Linked DNA regions of Arabidopsis thaliana. The protein of the gene in region 1 purifies or fractionates together with the protein of each later gene. This does not show direct contact. Each region holds a gene or a part of one and is shown in the gene's direction. Other genes may lie near its edges. The genes, in order: AT3G03100, AT1G16700, GAMMA CAL1 and GAMMA CAL2.

What was found.
Region 2: the proteins of AT3G03100 (region 1) and AT1G16700 fractionate together in Arabidopsis thaliana (co-fractionation; one large-scale study listed by BioGRID). This does not show direct contact.
Region 3: the proteins of AT3G03100 (region 1) and GAMMA CAL1 fractionate together in Arabidopsis thaliana (co-fractionation; one large-scale study listed by BioGRID). This does not show direct contact.
Region 4: the proteins of AT3G03100 (region 1) and GAMMA CAL2 fractionate together in Arabidopsis thaliana (co-fractionation; one large-scale study listed by BioGRID). This does not show direct contact.

Annotation. Positions count from the first base shown.
Region 1 is NC_003074.8:704,853-709,385, reverse strand, and holds AT3G03100 (NADH:ubiquinone oxidoreductase, 17.2kDa subunit), read left to right. Parts: upstream 1-1,688; 5' UTR 1,689-1,807; coding exon 1,808-1,899; intron 1,900-2,279; coding exon 2,280-2,306; intron 2,307-3,083; coding exon 3,084-3,175; coding exon of another isoform or gene 3,176-3,179; intron 3,180-3,454; coding exon 3,455-3,564; intron 3,565-3,663; coding exon 3,664-3,822; 3' UTR 3,823-4,005; downstream 4,006-4,533. Other genes in the region: XPO1B (exportin 1B), read right to left, coding at 1-10, 322-420. UniProt on the Arabidopsis thaliana protein: Accessory subunit of the mitochondrial membrane respiratory chain NADH dehydrogenase (Complex I), that is believed not to be involved in catalysis. Complex I functions in the transfer of electrons from NADH to the respiratory chain.
Region 2 is NC_003070.9:5,707,775-5,712,574, forward strand, and holds AT1G16700 (Alpha-helical ferredoxin), read left to right. Parts: upstream 1-1,849; 5' UTR 1,850-2,087; intron 2,088-2,190; 5' UTR 2,191-2,237; coding exon 2,238-2,291; intron 2,292-2,706; coding exon 2,707-2,785; intron 2,786-2,885; coding exon 2,886-2,939; intron 2,940-3,049; coding exon 3,050-3,141; intron 3,142-3,221; coding exon 3,222-3,335; intron 3,336-3,433; coding exon 3,434-3,501; intron 3,502-3,612; coding exon 3,613-3,724; intron 3,725-3,824; coding exon 3,825-3,920; 3' UTR 3,921-4,269; downstream 4,270-4,800. Other genes in the region: AT1G16690 (Enhancer of polycomb-like transcription factor protein), read left to right, coding at 46-111, 236-274, 376-456, 559-606, 701-751, 866-934, 1,037-1,273, 1,388-1,597; AT1G16705 (p300/CBP acetyltransferase-related protein-like protein), read left to right, coding at 4,695-4,741. UniProt on the Arabidopsis thaliana protein: Core subunit of the mitochondrial membrane respiratory chain NADH dehydrogenase (Complex I) that is believed to belong to the minimal assembly required for catalysis. Complex I functions in the transfer of electrons from NADH to the respiratory chain.
Region 3 is NC_003076.8:25,422,221-25,426,379, forward strand, and holds GAMMA CAL1 (gamma carbonic anhydrase like 1), read left to right. Parts: upstream 1-1,746; 5' UTR 1,747-1,833; coding exon 1,834-2,215; intron 2,216-2,745; coding exon 2,746-2,826; intron 2,827-3,015; coding exon 3,016-3,392; 3' UTR 3,393-3,651; downstream 3,652-4,159. Other genes in the region: AT5G63500 (transmembrane protein, putative (DUF 3339)), read left to right, coding at 1,240-1,449; AT5G63520 (F-box/LRR protein), read right to left, coding at 4,080-4,159. UniProt on the Arabidopsis thaliana protein: Involved in complex I assembly in mitochondria and respiration.
Region 4 is NC_003074.8:18,033,281-18,037,541, forward strand, and holds GAMMA CAL2 (gamma carbonic anhydrase-like 2), read left to right. Parts: upstream 1-1,654; 5' UTR 1,655-1,826; coding exon 1,827-2,220; intron 2,221-3,116; coding exon 3,117-3,493; 3' UTR 3,494-3,761; downstream 3,762-4,261. Other genes in the region: IDN2 (XH/XS domain-containing protein), read left to right, coding at 1-9, 99-335; AT3G48675 (egg cell-secreted-like protein (DUF1278)), read left to right, coding at 912-1,271; CXE12 (alpha/beta-Hydrolases superfamily protein), read right to left, coding at 3,906-4,261.

The DNA of each region.
Region 1 (4,533 bases):
CAGAAGCTCTCTGCAAGGTGTTTTCAAACATTCTTATCTCATTGAAAGCACACATATGCAAACATCGTTTTTACACACAAATTACATTGTTTAGTGTTTTTCCAGATAACAAGAACAGCCACAAACAATCGAAACCTATCTCTAACCCAGGAAAAAGAATTAAGCAAAACTCATCCAATTCGTATCGCAAATACTAAACCCTCGCCTAACCCCCAAATCGATAGAACGCATTAACAGTGAATAAGAGACCGCTTAATGTGGTGGCGATACTCGTTCATCGTTAAAATTCTCAGAGAAATTATGATAAACAACGGGACTCACTTCTTCCTTAGATCCGGTAGAGTAAAAGGCCTCAACAGTGGCATCGAGTAAAACGACGTCAATCGGCTGACTCAAGTCTCTTAACTTCTCGGCAGCCATGGCGGAGAGGATGCGCAAATTCTAGAAGAAGAGACTCGATACGAGAGTGAAATCAATGGAGGGAGACAAAGTTCGAGAGAGAGGGAGAGAGTTTTTTTTTGGGTAGAGCGGTACGGAGGAGAGGCAGTTTAAATATTGAGAGAGGTTTTTGAAAGACAGCTTAAGATTGACGCAGGCGACGCTGAGAAAAAGGCCTGACTTCTAATTTTGTTTTCTCTTCTTTTTTTTTCGTTGACCGCCTCAGGGTTTGAATTTGTATACTCTACAGTCTACGCTACTCAAATATTTACTAGGATTGTTTATTTTATTCAAAGATTTACTTTAAGGAAAGATTATTATAAAATGAAATGCAATCATATAGATTAATCAAATTTCCAACACTTTTTGAGGTTTTACAAAAAAAAACATTATTAAGTTTTATTTTTAAATAAGCTATATTCAATCACTAAGTTGTAGAACTTTATTATTTTTATTTAATGATGTTCATTATTAGATTTTGTATGATATTATTATATAAAATAAAATTGAGTGTTTTTTTTTTTTTTGGATTTATGTATTTATGTCATATTATTATGTTTGCATTAATTAATTAATAGCATTTTCCCCAAATATTAACTTTACTTTCTTTCTTTTTTTGAACACGGAACTTTACTAAGTAGTAGTATTCATTTGATCCCATGAAATCTAAGCTAAGGAGTAAGCTTGGAAAAACCTTAACAATAGGAGATCTATCATTATATTGAAATCGAGTTTACCATTCGTGAAGATATGATTATAATACGTTGTGTACTCTTAGCTTGTAAAATGGCTAATGGGATTTACTAAGAGAGGAAGAGAAGTGAACTGTTAATGTTATGATCATCAAATGCTTTGAGGAAAGTGGGAAAAACAGATTTAGCTATGAAGCTAATGCATAGCAAATTGGAATGCGTAGTGTTAAAACTTAAAAGGCCTTTTTTTTTTTTTTTTTGGGTTTTATAATGCGTAGTGATTTCCTTTTTTTTGATAACATATACAAAATGAATTTCCTTTTTTTATTTTTGAACAACTCCTTATGAATAAATACACATCATCTCTTCTTATTCACTGAGAAATCAAAATTACAACCCTATGAATGTATGATCTAATGCTTTGAGGAAAGTGGGAAAAGCAGATTTAAATCTTGTATTTCTTGATATACCAAATCATAGTAGAAAATGTATATTCATATGCTTCTCTGCCACATCATCATGGGGAAGGCCATAGCGAGCAAGTGGCCCAGGTAAACACAAAGCGTAGCCCAACAAATACAAAACGATGCGTTTAGCAATCGTCATCATGTCCCTTGTTATTTCGACAACGAAATCAAATCCCGATTCCGAGAGAGAGAGAGCGATAGCGGAAGACGATGGCTTTGACGGTGGCGAAGAGTGCGTTGGAGGCGATTAGAGAGAAAGGTCTCGGCGGTTTCATGAGGATGATCCGAGAAGAAGGCTTCATGTTAGTTCTCTGTCTCTCTTTTCCAATCTCTCTTCCTCTGCTTAATTTCTTCAGGATTATACCCTCGATTTCATTAGTTAGATCCCAAATAATCTAGAAATTTACAAGAATTTTCGGTGTTTGTTGAAGTTTGTTTGCAATGAATGGTTATCATTCTTCGGTTTTTTTCACTCAAATGTTAAATTTTCTTGATGTGAAATGAAAATCAAACACTTTGTTTTTGGTGAACATCAATTTTGAACGGTGATGGTGATGCTTGAAATTGGCATAATGTTTCTGGTTGCTTATAAGTCTAAGATCTTATTGTTTGTATTCCGAGGTAATCACTAGTTTATGGAATTTCTCTAATTGCTTCTTTCAATTTTTTTTCTTCATTGCAGGAGATGCCTACCAGATGGGAACCTCTTGTAAGTAATTTATCTTTGATAATTAGTGCTTAGTGTTTCACTTCTTTGTGGATTACGAATATGATTCAAGTGGTTGTTCAAGAGTTCTTTACAGACCAAGTTCATTTTCATATTCTTATATGTGTATGTTGTTGTGTGAGCGAACATAATTTTGTCAGATTCATTATACTGTGAACAGAGCTCGCCAATTCTTGAACAGCTTACTATTCTTTGACTTGGACTGCTGATAGATGTTATGTTAGTTGATTTTGGAGTTCAGTAAAGAAACAGTGACAGTAAATGATGGTTGGTATTCCAGAGATAGTGTAGTTACATGTTTGAAGGAATTGACAATATTATGCCATAAGGCTATTCAAGTTGATGAGGAATAAGAGCTCAAAGATTGGTGAGGCCTGTTAATGGTGATGAAATTGGCCTACAAAGTAGTCTTGAAACTTGAAAGATCTTAAGAGTCAAAATTTATGTGCCTCTTTCACCAAGTCTATAAGCTGGATTTGTCGTTCTCATAGGCTCTAGATAGTTGGTGCATTTGGCTGAATATAGAGAACCTTTTCCTCAGATCATTTCTTTATGCGTAATATACATATAACATATACTTAGTGTTGCTTCTATGTTGTGTATTGAGATGTTGGAAGCATGTATATATGGGTCACATAGTATATACACAGTATGCTTGAATATTGTGTCTTATTAATAGTTTCCCCATTCTTTATATTGTAGCTTGCTGTTGAGTCGTATTTTCTGATCAATACTGTTTTATTTCTATATTTGATGAAGGCAAACTAAAATACATAACATAGGAGCGACACTTGTTGGTGTTGACAAGTTCGGTAACAAATACTACCAGAAGCTAGGCGATACTCAATACGGTATGTAGTTCCTTTAACTTCATGTTTTACCTATATAAAATCATGCTTTAACCTAAAAAAATTGATGCCACTGTAGGATTCATGATATTTGTTACTAAATATTCAGGGAATAACCCTTTTAATATTGACTTCAAATGTTTGTTTATTCTGAGTGGTACAGTCATGGAAATTGTAGCCACTCACTCAGCATTTGTTATTTGTTAGCTCACTGCATGTATCTTAATAGAATGTTTAGTCAAGAGGCTTTTACATTGAAACAAGCAATCACTTTGTGAACAGGTAGGCACAGATGGGTAGAGTATGCTTCAAAGGATCGTTACAACGCATCTCAAGTACCAGCTGAATGGCACGGGTGGCTTCATTTCATCACTGATCACACTGGCGATGAGGTAAAACCAAGAGCCATTTCAAATTCGCTGTCTCGTTCAATCAATAGATAATATATTGCCTTGTAACTTGATAATAAATACCAATGTCTCTGTTTCAAGCTCTTGAGTTTGAAACCAAAAAGGTATGGGCTTGAGCATAAAGAGAACTTCTCTGGAGAAGGTGATGCATACATCTACCATTCGAAGGGACATACCTTGAACCCGGGACAAAAGAACTGGACTCGGTACCAATCATGGGTACCCACCAAGACTCAGTAAGAAGATGATATTTTGGTTTTACGCTCTGCGAGACTTTCTCTCGAGTGATTTGTTGTTTTGTTTCTGTGTCATTTTAATAAAAGCTGTCTTGGATCTAAAGCTGGACAATTGGGTTTCGGATCTGGAATTGTAATTGTTACTGTGTAATAATTTGCTGATTATTAAGTTTCTTGTTTCTTCACCTCTGGCTAGGAAAGTAGAAAAGTTCTAATAAGTAGAAGTATTTAAAAATATATTAATCAAATAACTTCATCGAGAAAAATATCTTTCAAGATTTTTTTTTTCTTCGAAAATCTTCAAAGAAAATTGAATACAGAGTTTATGATCTAAAAACAAAAAACAAAAAAAAAATCTTCCAACAAAATCTTAATACTATTAATACATCTAAATGAGAGATTTTTCCCAAAACGGATTATGATAACCAGATAAATCGAACGCAGTGCCAGCAACAAAACGTTTTTAATGGTAATTAAAAATTTAAACGAGATCAGCACCACGTTTTTTAATTATCCTTCTTCTGTCGTTTTTATGGTCAACTTTGTTATAAAAAAAAATTATAATCTTTCTAAACAAAAAAAAACGAAACTGGAATTTTGATTAACAGAAACATCCAATATCAACATTTAATTGGTTTTACAATTTAAAAACAAAAAGGGTTTCACAGTTTGACTCTCTCTATTTATGCTAACACACTATTAAGACTAATTTCCT
Region 2 (4,800 bases), on another chromosome or scaffold:
GACATTTACATTGTTCTTATTGTGCTATTTCCATTTTTTTTACAGGCGCTGAAATATTTGTCCATCAAATATGGAGTTTTCCACGCTATATACAGTTATTGGAAAAATAAGGTTTGATATAGTTGTCGTATAGTTTGATGATAATTGATTTTTTTTTTTTTAATGAAAAGTTGTTAATGGTTCTTTGGGCATAGGCTTAAAACATTAAGTAACTTCGACTTTTGTATTCTTTTAGCGTGAAATATGGCAGAAGCCTATCTTGCGGCGTTTACAGGTATATCATTTGGACTGGTCTCAATCTTACATGTGGAAGAAATGAATTTATTCTGAAATGTACTGAAAATTAGCTACTCTTGTGTTTTTTGTTTGGAACAGCCTCCACCACCGGTCAATGATACCAATCCGTACAATGTGTTTAGGCCACGGGAGAAAGCTCATAGACTACACGCAAGAAGAGTAGGCTGTCTTGTTGTCTGTGGTTTATCAATTTCCTTATCTTACATGTGTGAGTATGGAAAATGCACCATAACTTACTAACAATAGTTGACCTCACTTCAGATGCAGCAGAGAGAAAACAATGCGCAGTCATTTGAGAAGCTGCGACAGGTAAGGGAAGACCTGAATCTGTGTTTAACTTCTTAAAATAATTCCTGGATTCTCAAACGTTCTTCTCTTCTGTTCTGGGATATGTTATTATTAGGTCAGGCGCAATCTTGACCAAGCAAAGACCATTCTAGAAGCTCTTATTAAGGTAATCTAAATGACATCTATATTTTGTGACTTGAATGTAATTTTATTGATATCTTAAGAGATACCTGCAGACTCCATAGGTATTAACTTGATTAAAAACATGTTATCTTTATAGAGAGAAGAGAAAAAGAGGGATTTCATGGCGAGTGAGGTTAGCCTTCAGAGAATCCAACTGAAATATAAGGTAGTCCTCTACAACCTGCATCGAGTGTTCTTTTGTTACCAGAAAGAGTTGTGCATTTCGATCTCCTCTGATTTTTTTTGTGGGGTTTTGATATGTTTGCAGAATGAAACCGAACTTTTGGAAGATAGTTTGGCTCTGGCTGGGTTTCCACTCTCTACAGCTTACAGATTTGGCTCAAGCGAAGATGAATTCATGGACTCCGATGACCCGACCACCACCCAAACATGTACAAGGCCTTCCTTTACCCCTCATCGTCGTTTCACCGACTCAAACCTCGCTCGAGCTCAAGCCGGGAGCATAAAGCAAGAGGCGAGAAGACTTGGATGGCTCCACAAACTGGTAATTCTTCAGAACCTCTGTATTTGAAACATTTGAGACTATTAGGTTACTACATTCTGGTGACAAGATAAAAAAGAGAGAATTACGTTCACTGTTTATGTTGTTTCTGTGTAGAATCCTAATGAGCCAGTTATGCTGTTCACGAAAGCATTGGTCCCCGATAAACTGGCTGCTGCGGGAATCATCCCTCCATCAGATGCAAGAAGTGGAAGAGCTCGGTTTCAAGGAAGAATGGGTAGAGGCGGTCGGATTGTATTTGATAGATGGAATCCTCTAAACCAAGCCCACATTAACTGTGGCAACACTCTCTACATAGCACCATAACATCTCAACTAGTTTTCTTCTTCTTCATTGTAAAGAGTTATCCCCGTTAGTTCCTCCCCAGTGGTGGTGAAGATTGTCACCAAAACACTTTGTATCTCCTCTAAATTTTGTGTAGTCTTTGGTTTTCCCGGTTTATTGATCAATCTCGGCTACTTTGTGAACTTTAGGTCCGGTTAGTGACCATTGATCAGGTATTAACTTTTTTCAGCAATGGTCTAGTTTGGTCCACGTCTTGAGAACCTGGATCCTGAAATGTGTGAAACTTGGAAGGAATTGACTGTCATACCAAATATAACCGGTTTGATTGCCCGGTTATGAGCTGAGTAAGTAGTTAACCAGAAGGGTCAATTTGTAAATTAAGAGACATCTGATCGAATTTTGTTCCGACGACCGTGAATCACCAGCAAAGGATTCGTGTCAATGTTCTTGTGAGATCGAACTTTCTCTGGGTTCGTGCAGAAGCTTTGCTTTTTTGAGTATCGCGTTTAAGGTTCGGATGGAATTTTAGGCTTTTCGTTGGTCATTCTCTTGTTCAATGCTTCTTTTGCTTGATTAAGCTTTTCAGCTAATCGGATTTTCTTCTCTCACATCAGGCACATCGAAGAAGAGAGACCCTAATTTGATATTTTGAGTTCTATCGATGGCTTCGCTACTAGCTCGCAGGTCGTTCAGTGCTCTCCGAGCTCGACATCTCGTAAGAATCTCGTAGGCTCTTCCATTTTATATCGCTTATATTCCTAGAAATTTGGAATTGCTGCTAAGTTTTTTGAAATCACTAGTTGGTATTGTCTGCCCCGGCCGGCTCTAGGCATGTGCAAGTGGTGCTGCTATACATGTTTTTGTCTTTTTTTTTCCTGGGTATTGTTCCTCTATGCATCTCTTTGTATTGCGTTGGTACATCAATCGTGAAGCTTCATTTTTCCTTTAGATCATATACTCTTCCTTGAAGAGAGAATGTATCGCCTAAATGTTGTTATCTCAATCTCTGCAAATATAAATACTTTAACTGAGAGCGTCGTGGTAGTTAACTTTTACTTTCAATAGCTCTTTTGGTGGCTATGCTATGGAATTCTTCTCGCATTTAACATCTACCTTGTCTTTGTTGATAGGCTTTTTCAGGGCAAGGTTTACAGGGATCTCATCTCTGTGGGCTACAGTCCCGTGCTATATCTTATGGAAGCAACAAAGGTATAAATTTTGTTGCTTCCATTTGGGTTCTCTTGGTTAATTTAGGCTATGACTTTTCAGGAATATAGGTTACTAATCCTTTGCCTCTGGTAATATGTAGATGATGAAGAAGCTGAGCAGCTTGCTAAAGAGATCTCCAAGGACTGGAGTACTGGTAAGCTATTTGATCCAGACACTTTTCAACCTTTCTATTCTCTTAGCATTCCTTCCTGATTACTTCCTTCTGCGAGTCTTAGCGATTCCTGATGTTTCTTACTTTTACAGTCTTTGAACGGAGCATGAACACCCTATTTCTCACTGAAATGGTCAGGGGTTTGTCACTGACCCTCAAGTACTTCTTTGATCCAAAAGTTACAGTGAGTGGCTGTCTCCCTTGACTCTAGTAATTAGGCTGAAAGAAAAATATTCTGATTCTCAAGTTTTATCTTTTGTGCAGATCAATTATCCTTTTGAGAAGGGTCCATTGAGCCCTCGTTTCCGTGGTGAACACGCTCTTCGAAGGTATCCAACTGGGGAAGAACGCTGCATTGCCTGCAAACTCTGCGAAGCTGTGAGTTTTTGAAGTCTATGCTACTCGAGAATTCATACCACAGCACAATATTGACATAAAGTGTGATTTTTCATGGATACTGGTCTTTTGCTCATCAGGTATGTCCAGCTCAAGCAATCACAATAGAGGCAGAGGAGCGGGAAGATGGAAGCCGCAGAACCACTAGGTCACCCTCTAAGTTCCCGTTTATTAACCATATATATATTATTTAATACTGTCTTGTCTCTATGGTTCTTCTATATATTTCGTAGTGTAGTGATTGTTCGGAGCTGTACAGGTATGATATCGACATGACGAAATGCATCTATTGTGGTTTCTGCCAAGAAGCTTGCCCTGTTGATGCAATCGTGGAAGGACCAAACTTTGAGTTTGCAACCGAGACACATGAGGTCTGTATAAACAATTCAGAAAGACATAAGATTGCCCATGATCTTAAAGTTAGATGTGTATTATTCGATAAATGACATTCTGATTCTTTTTGGTGTGCAGGAACTTCTGTATGACAAAGAGAAGCTTCTTGAGAATGGAGATAGGTGGGAGACAGAGATTGCAGAGAATCTGAGGTCGGAGAGCCTCTACCGCTGAATATTGATCCGAAAATGCCTTTTGCCTAATTCTTAAGGAAACGTTTTCGTTTGCTTCTGTTACAAATAAAGATGCTTCAGCCTTTGCACTGTTATTGCTATCTGTATTTCTTGAGTTCATACCGATGGCAAAATCAAATTTGGCTTTGTTTCCGGTTTGAGCTGGACCGTGCGGTAAATGGATTATGATATGATTCAATGGTGTTGTTACTCTCAGTGTCGGTCGGTCAAGTGTCTAACAAAAAATTGCTAATATCTGAAGAGAACATTAATGATGTAAAATACAGAGAAATACAAGGGTAAAATGGTAGTTTAATAGACTGGCATGAACATGCATAATTGCATATCTAGTAAAAACCTCTGATTGGCAGAAACTCCAGCTCAGGAACTTACTCTATTTGGAATTTCGTCTTAAATTCGCTTTCTCATCTTCTTTTACTTCTCGGTTTCAAGATCTCTTTCAGAGATTTCTCATTTTACTTATCCTCCTGGCTTGCGTGAGTTTAGACGTGCGACATTGTTTCTTCATCGTAATCATAGGTTACGTTTTCTTGATCTCGTAAGGAAGAATCTTCCTCACTAGGCTCTGATCTTTGCGGTGGAAGATTGCTTCTTTCTTTGTGTATCAAATTTTAAAGTTGGATTGAAGTCCTAGGTTTTATCATCTGAGGTTTAGATGTATCTTCTTTCTTTGCTTATGCTTGGTTTTACTACTGATTATGATTATGCTGGTTAATTGGTGTTGCTTTAGGGATTTCACGTTACACTTGCTCCCATGGACAATGATGTTTTCCAGATTCGCCGGTCCATGCGAGACGCTATGTAAGCCTTCAATTTTTCACATTCACTCGTTCCTCTTGCACTCTTTTCCTTTTCTCTGT
Region 3 (4,159 bases), on another chromosome or scaffold:
ATGCTCTCTTCTCTCCTTTCTCAAAATGTTCGTGAGACAGATAACGGCAAGAGAGAAAACGACGATTTGTGAGACGAGAAAGATTACAGAGATTCTCCCGGGAAAGTGACGGGAAAATGTAAGAAAATTAGAAAGCAAGAAATATTCTGTGATTTTTCTCTCTGAAAAACACGTTTTATTTTGCGATTTTCACCCAATCGGATTCTTTGATTTCGATGCTCTGTCGAATTGGACGATCGCTACCTTTTTTTTTTTTGGTCTTTGCTTTTTTTTTTGGGGGGGCAATATATTGATTTCTTATATCTGGTTATTGACACTTATATCCTCAATATTTGAGAACTATGACAAGTGGATCAAAGATTTGTTTCTCATTTGGCAAAGGGTTTTATCGTCATTAGCTATTTATGGTCATTATTACACACGAGTTGATACTTTTTCTGGATTTTATTTTTTATATGTTGATTATTGGATTTGCCTTTTACTCTTTCTTCTTAGCATTTGGATTTTTTTTTTTCCTTTTTTTTGGACAAATTGGATTTCGTCTAAGACAGAAAATTCAAACTGATTTTTTCTTAAAACAGGTTAATTTAATTAGGATATTAAAAGTTCTGTGTTCTATCTGGATAAAAACGTGTAGACTAAAAACAAAATGAAAATAAAATATCCATTCTGTCTCATTTTCAGTTTCTTACAATGTATTTAAGGATTTGTTCCATCCATGGTTGTGAAATCTGTGTGAACCAAAAAAAAAAAAAAAAACAGAAATTTTAATATTCAAACTTTATATTAATTGTTGAATATTTCAATGTTAAAAACAGTGAAATGAATCAATGTCACAACAGTTTTGACCAAAAGGAAAAAGAATTGGTGTCACAACAATTTTGACCAAAAAAAGAAAAGAATTGAGGTCACACTCACAACAATAGTCAATAACCAAAGCTACTTTAGCTTCATGGATATGGACCAAACATAAGTTATGAATTATAATACTGGGCCGAAAACTCAAAGCCCATATGTATAAGATTCACGTTGTTCGAAATCTTTTCCCACTAAACAATAATTTTATAATTAAACCTAAAGTATGTCCACGTGGATACCATCAATTGGTTCACCACAGCATTAGCTTTCACATCACACGAGAAGCTTCGTCTCTAACTAAAACCAAAAATACTCCAGCTCCTTCACCACTCTCTATTTCTCTCTCCAAATTCATTTCTTCTCTCTTTAAGACAAGAAGTTATGGCGGATTGGGGCCCAGTGTTGATCGCCGTGATCCTCTTCGTAGTTCTATCGCCGGGGCTTCTTTTCCAGATTCCGGCGGGAGGTCGAGTTGTCGAATTCGGTAATATGCAGACGAGTGGCGCTTCGATTCTCGTTCACGCCATCATTTTCTTTGGTCTCATCACTATCTTTACCATCGCCATAAACGTCCACATCTATTCCGGTTAACTGTTTAGCCAGACAAACCGGTGCTGCTTGGTTTTATTTCAATTTGATTGTAAGGTCTGGATTTGTTTTGTTTGTAACATTTTCGGATTTGTGAATATAATCAAAATTTCACCAAATGATACAACATCCAGTTTTGTTTTTGAATCTGGTATCAATCTGTAGAGTTTGTTTGGGATCTGGTTTAATTTGGTTTTCAAATGCTACTTGACACCTAATGTACATCCACCTAATAAGTGAAACGACGACGTTTTACTATTATTGGGCCTGTGGTCCGTTAAAAAGCCCAATATGCTGTATCTCGTTTAATTTCAGGTGAATCTTTCGACGACCACTCTCTCTCTTTTCCTCTTTGCAAATCCTTGAAGAAATCCAAAATCCATAGCAATGGCGACTTCGATAGCTCGATTGTCTCGGAGAGGAGTCACTTCTAACCTGATCCGTCGTTGCTTCGCTGCGGAAGCGGCGTTGGCGAGGAAGACAGAGTTACCTAAACCGCAATTCACGGTGTCGCCGTCGACGGATCGTGTGAAATGGGACTACAGAGGCCAACGACAGATCATTCCTTTGGGACAGTGGCTTCCGAAGGTAGCCGTTGATGCTTACGTGGCACCCAACGTTGTGCTGGCTGGTCAGGTCACAGTCTGGGACGGCTCGTCTGTTTGGAACGGTGCCGTTTTGCGCGGCGATCTCAACAAAATCACTGTTGGATTCTGCTCGAATGTACAGGAACGGTGTGTTGTTCATGCCGCCTGGTCTTCCCCAACAGGTTATTGCTTCCTTCCTTCCATTTTCAAAAAAAATTGTGTTCTGATTATCCAATTTTTTGTATGGAATCAAGACAATGTTGATTGGGATTTAGGGGTTTTCATTGTCCATTTTCAGTTATGAAAAGCTTATTGAAGAGTCGAGAACTTATATGGACAATTAAGTAAATTGGTTCTGCATAATAGTGTTCTCTCGAGTACAGATTTTCTTGCTTGAAGAATCGTCCAGTGAACTGTGGCTGTGGCTATTGTTCTTACTCTTTTGAGCATAATGAGTTTTAACTTCGCCGATTATGTGTGTGGAAACGTGTTGTTCTTTAGGTGATTAGCATTACAGGAATCAAGAAACTAACTGAAGATTGAGCTTAATATTGAGAGTTGAATAGATTAGCGTAGTACCACACACGATCATCTTGTGTAGTAGTAGGAAGTTTCTTAGCAGAAATTTGGGAACAATGTCTCGATAAAAGGATTTTGGTTTTTTTAATGACTTATGCAAGGATTTGGTTTTCTGGTCACTCGTGACTGGAAGTGGGATGCAATGGTGATAAAGCTGTATCACATGGATGTGAACTTGTTTTTGCTCCAAGGTTTAGACAAGGGAAGTTTTCAAGTAAAAACATTTGAAGAGTGACCATTCTGGTTTGATAGGGTCTGCTGAATTTTATTTGACCCGGAACAGTATCTATTCAACTTGTCACATTGATGAAACTATTTGTTTATCTTTCAAGGCTAAATTTATATCTTGGTTCTTTTTTTACATCACAAATTTGATTCTGGGGTATCTATTTTAAAATTTCAGGATTACCAGCAGCGACAATAATCGACAGGTATGTGACAGTAGGTGCCTACAGTCTTCTGAGATCATGTACCATCGAACCAGAGTGCATCATCGGTCAACACTCAATACTAATGGAAGGCTCACTGGTTGAGACCCGGTCAATCTTGGAAGCGGGTTCAGTTGTGCCGCCAGGAAGAAGGATCCCATCAGGTGAACTATGGGGAGGCAATCCAGCAAGATTCATTAGAACCCTAACCAACGAAGAAACCCTAGAGATCCCAAAACTCGCTGTAGCCATCAACCACTTAAGCGGAGATTACTTCTCTGAGTTCCTACCTTACTCAACTGTCTACTTAGAGGTAGAGAAGTTCAAGAAGTCCCTTGGGATCGCCGTTTAGAAGCTTCATCTTTTTCGTGATTCACTTTCATGTGTTTATCTATCATATGAGGTCTTTCTCTCTGCATATTGCAATAAGTAGCTGATGAACATCAAAACAAGTCCGGCTCTCTTTTTTGGTTCTAAAACGTTTGTCATTTCGTTTTTTGGGTTCTTTGTAAAATTCCATTTAAAACTGATTTTGGCTGAATATTGTCTGAATGATAATGGCGACGACTTCTGGTTTTGTTGTTGTGAGCAATTAAACAAAACAAATAACTAAACTAAATGGTTTTTCGTTATTTGGGATCACTAAAAGGAACATTGTGTAGAAGAATTAATTATACAGGACTTGTGACGTTTTATTTGACAGAATGAAGAACGTAGGTCAAACTAAAATTATGTAATGGAATTTACTCAATATGGGTTACATTTTGAAAATCTTTAAAATTCTTCCGTTGCTTGTAGGTTATAAACATATAACTCATGTCTAATTAATTCGTAAATCAACACCCTTTTGTTCTCACTCTATAAATTCAAAGTTCCTGCACATAACCAAATCATCAAAGTGAAAAGAAGCAAGAAAAATAAGAAAGAGATAAGATTAATAAGAGATGGAAAGCAAAGCAAGAGTTATTGCCTCCTTAGTCCTAGTTGTAGTTAACTTATCATTCTCTTAATAAGCATAAAACAAACAGACACCTTAATATTAAGATGTATACGAGACAATAAGATATACCGAACTATAAACGTGAAGAAATCTTTGGATGCTCACTTCTTTCTTTTCCT
Region 4 (4,261 bases), about 17 Mb from region 1:
AGAGAAGTGGTAAGACCGCCTTCTTGACTCTGTTTGTTATGTTGAATCTCTCTGAAAGATTAAAAAGCTTTTTTGGTGTTGTTGTTAATTGTGTTTAGGAAGTGATAGATGATAGAGACGAAAAGCTGAGGGAGCTAAAGGCAGATTTGGGAGATGGTCCTTACAATGCGGTCACGAAAGCTTTGTTGGAGATAAACGAGTATAACCCGAGTGGAAGGTATATTACAACAGAGCTATGGAACTTCAAAGCAGATAAGAAGGCTACACTTGAAGAAGGTGTCACTTGTTTACTTGATCAATGGGAAAAGGCGAAACGCAAGCGTGGAATGGCTTAGAGGTTTAACCATTTTTGATAACCGAACAAAAATATGTTTTCATTTGCAATTGTTATTTGCTAATATAGGATTTCGATTGATGGTTTGCAGCTGCAAGATGATGGACATGGGACTGAATAAAAAGCCGATGCGGTTTTTAGTTGCAGAGAAATGTGTTTGGTTTGACCAAACTTTGGTGGATTCTGTTTGTTTTTCTTCTCAGAACTTAGTGAATAATTGACACAACTTTGATGTCTTGCATCGGTTCTTTTCATTGTAACATTTGTAGGAGTTTGGCCGCTTTGGACAATAAGAAATAAAAATATCATTGTAATATAATTCACATGTAAAACAACTAGATTTGGCCTCTCTTCTGTCTCATATCTTAAGCATGTCATTTAGAACCTTTTATTGTAAAAACAAACTTTGTCATGAGTTACTTTTTGTAGTCAAATTTGATATTGACCCCTTCCTTATTATGCTAACACTGTTTTCATCTTATAACCCTATAAATCTAAGTTTCGTGAATATAGCCAAAATCATCTACATCATTGCAAAGAACCTTAAAGGAGAAAGAAGAAAACCGGCTTGAGAGAGATGGAAAACAACTCAGGAGCTATTCTCTTTGTGATCTTAGCTATGACCATTGTTCTTCAAGTGAGGCCAGGGTTCTCTCAAGCACTCCCTACGATCCCCGGACTTTTCCCACCGGGTCTTCCTATTGATATCATAAAATGTTGGTCATCTCTCTTTAACGTCCAAGGATGTGTACAAGAAATCTACAAATCGATATTTTCTGGTCAGTTTGCTAGCATTGAAGCCCCATGTTGTAAAACGTTTTCAGCTATAGATACAAACTGTTGGCCACATATGTTTCCATTGAACCCATTCTTCCCTCCTATTCTCAAGAACAACTGCGAGCGTATTGCTACGACTCCATCATCAACACACAAGTGAAGGCTACACACAAATGTTGCGAGCCAGTTGTTAGCTTCGAGGTTTAAGAAGTTCTTTTATCGATTTGAGAGATCACAATGCCCAATAATCCAAAATTCTCCTTGCAGTAATTTTTTTTTTTTTGTAATCTTTAGCTTAAAATAAACAAAGCTAAGCTTTTTGATGTACTCGTATGTGTTTGCCATGTAGTTTGTTAAAAGAGTGGTTATAACATAAACAAAATTTTGTTTGCGTTTATATATGAAAATATTGTTCTTACACTATGGAATAAAACATATTTCAGCATTTAAAATTTGTAAAAACGACGAACACGAACGCATATCAATACCATACCAAAAAGATTATATCGTACATGAAACTTGTTGCAGACAATGGCATGACTAATGGGCCTCTATTAACTTAGCCCATAAGGCCCAATAAAACTTTCCAAATAGTTTCATTTTTCAGATTTTGAAGAATCTCCCGACGACTCCTCTCTGTCTCCTCCTCCGGGAAGCTTTCTGTCTCTCTCTCTCTCTCTCTACACAAGACCTTGAAGAATCCGATTCCATAACAATGGCGACTTCGTTAGCACGAATCTCTAAAAGAAGCATAACATCGGCTGTTTCATCGAATCTGATTCGGCGTTACTTCGCCGCGGAAGCAGTAGCGGTGGCGACGACGGAAACACCTAAACCGAAATCGCAGGTGACGCCGTCGCCGGATCGGGTAAAATGGGACTACAGAGGCCAGAGACAGATAATTCCTCTGGGACAGTGGCTACCGAAGGTAGCTGTAGATGCTTACGTGGCACCTAACGTTGTGTTGGCTGGTCAGGTCACCGTCTGGGACGGCTCGTCTGTATGGAACGGTGCCGTTTTGAGAGGAGATCTTAATAAGATCACCGTTGGATTCTGCTCAAATGTCCAGGAACGGTGTGTTGTTCATGCTGCGTGGTCGTCGCCTACAGGTTCTTGTTCTTTGTCATTTTTTCGGAATTTGAGTCTCTGTATGGTTCCATTGTAGCTTCTAGTTTGAGTTCTGGATATCCAATTGCTGTAGTTACTGCTTGCTAGCTAATGGAATCATTGATATTGGAATTTAGGGTTTTCATTTTCATCTTCCATTTTGATTATGGAAAATGTAGAGTCTCACCTTTAAGGAGATTTTACACTTTTATCTGAAGTAGTGAAGTGTAAGTAAGCATATTTGTTTGGAGTGAAGATGTCCCCAGATCAAGAATCATGAATGATATTTGTTCAGTAAAGTTAATCTTCAGAGCATTTTGCGTTTAGCTAGACAAGGATGCATAGAATTGCGTAGTTCTTTAGGTGATTAGTGATATTGGAAGCAAGAAACCCATTGATGATATGTGCTTGATTTTAAAATTTAGGTAATTCAGGGGTTGAATAGATTAGCATGGTGGAGACCATCTTGTTTAGTTGTAGAAAGTTGCCTAGCAGCTCTGGAGAAGTTTCAGGAACTATGTCATAGTAAAGATTTTTAGTTATGCGGAGAGAATTTTGCAGAAAGTTGATATTATATTCAGTGGTTGGAACCGAGATTCTGAAGCTGCGTCAAGCTGAATGAACATAAGCGTCTTTTAGTCTTACCAAGGTGGATTCCGTGTCAAAGTCTTTAGTTCAACAGCCTCCTGGTTTGATTAAGCTGTAGTTTACAACTAGTACTTAATTACTTGATTCACCATTTTTTCGGGTTAATAGCTCTGTATTATCAACCAGTCTTCATGCTTTTTCTATACTAACATCTTGAAGGATAGAGCATACTGTGGTGCTGCTTTTGAATTTTGATATGATAGATAAAAATCTGATCTTAGAAGATACTTTCTACTTTGATTTTTTTCAGGATTACCAGCACAAACATTGATCGATAGGTACGTGACAGTTGGTGCATACAGTCTTTTAAGATCATGCACTATCGAACCAGAATGCATCATCGGGCAACACTCAATCCTAATGGAAGGTTCACTGGTCGAAACCCGCTCAATCCTAGAAGCTGGTTCTGTTTTACCACCTGGCAGAAGAATCCCATCTGGTGAACTATGGGGAGGCAATCCAGCAAGGTTTATTCGAACACTCACCAATGAAGAAACCTTAGAGATCCCGAAACTTGCTGTTGCCATTAACCACCTAAGTGGAGATTACTTCTCAGAGTTCTTGCCTTACTCAACTATCTATCTAGAGGTTGAGAAGTTCAAGAAATCCCTTGGAATCGCCATCTAGAAAGCTTCTTCCAGGTTTCTGGCTACTTCCCTCATTAAGAAAGCTTCTTCGTTTTCGGAATTTGATCTGAATAAGTAGCTGCGGAACAAGAAAAAGAGCAGAGCTGTGTTTCAAATGTTGTCTTCTCTGTTTGTTTTGTTTAAGTTCATATCCTTGTGTTCAAACTTTCTATGAAGATGATAATGGTGAAAACTGGAAAGTGTAAAACTTCTTTCGTCTCCCCTCACAATTGGAAAAGCTAATAATCTCGTAGTGTTATAGAATTAAACATCTCGTACTAAAATATTTTCATCTTCAATTTTTATTGTGTTGCTTTGGGCGAAAAGCCAATCACTGAAACATTACAGAAACTGAGAGACGCAACTAAAATATGTAGTACCAAATTATTCCAATATCTCTAGAGAGCACAAAGCTAGTTCCCTCCCTTAATAAACCCTGAGAATTTATGCATGACTTCAATAGCATTATCACATTCAGGTTTCAACAAATGAAAAACATGATCTTCTCCTTCACTCTCCACCACTTCAACCTCTCCTTTCCAACCAGACTTCTCAAGCTTAGCCGCGTAACCCCAACCCTGCCTCACCAACGCATCTTTCTCAGCCACCATTACCAAAACCTTACCACAACCCAACCCAGACAAATCCACCGACTCTGATTGCACCACGTTGAGCAACGGATCATCTGTTCCATCTTTGCTATTAGGACTTGCCATCATCCAAAACGCCTCTATCTTCATCCTCAACGTTTCATCTTTCGTATCCTTCT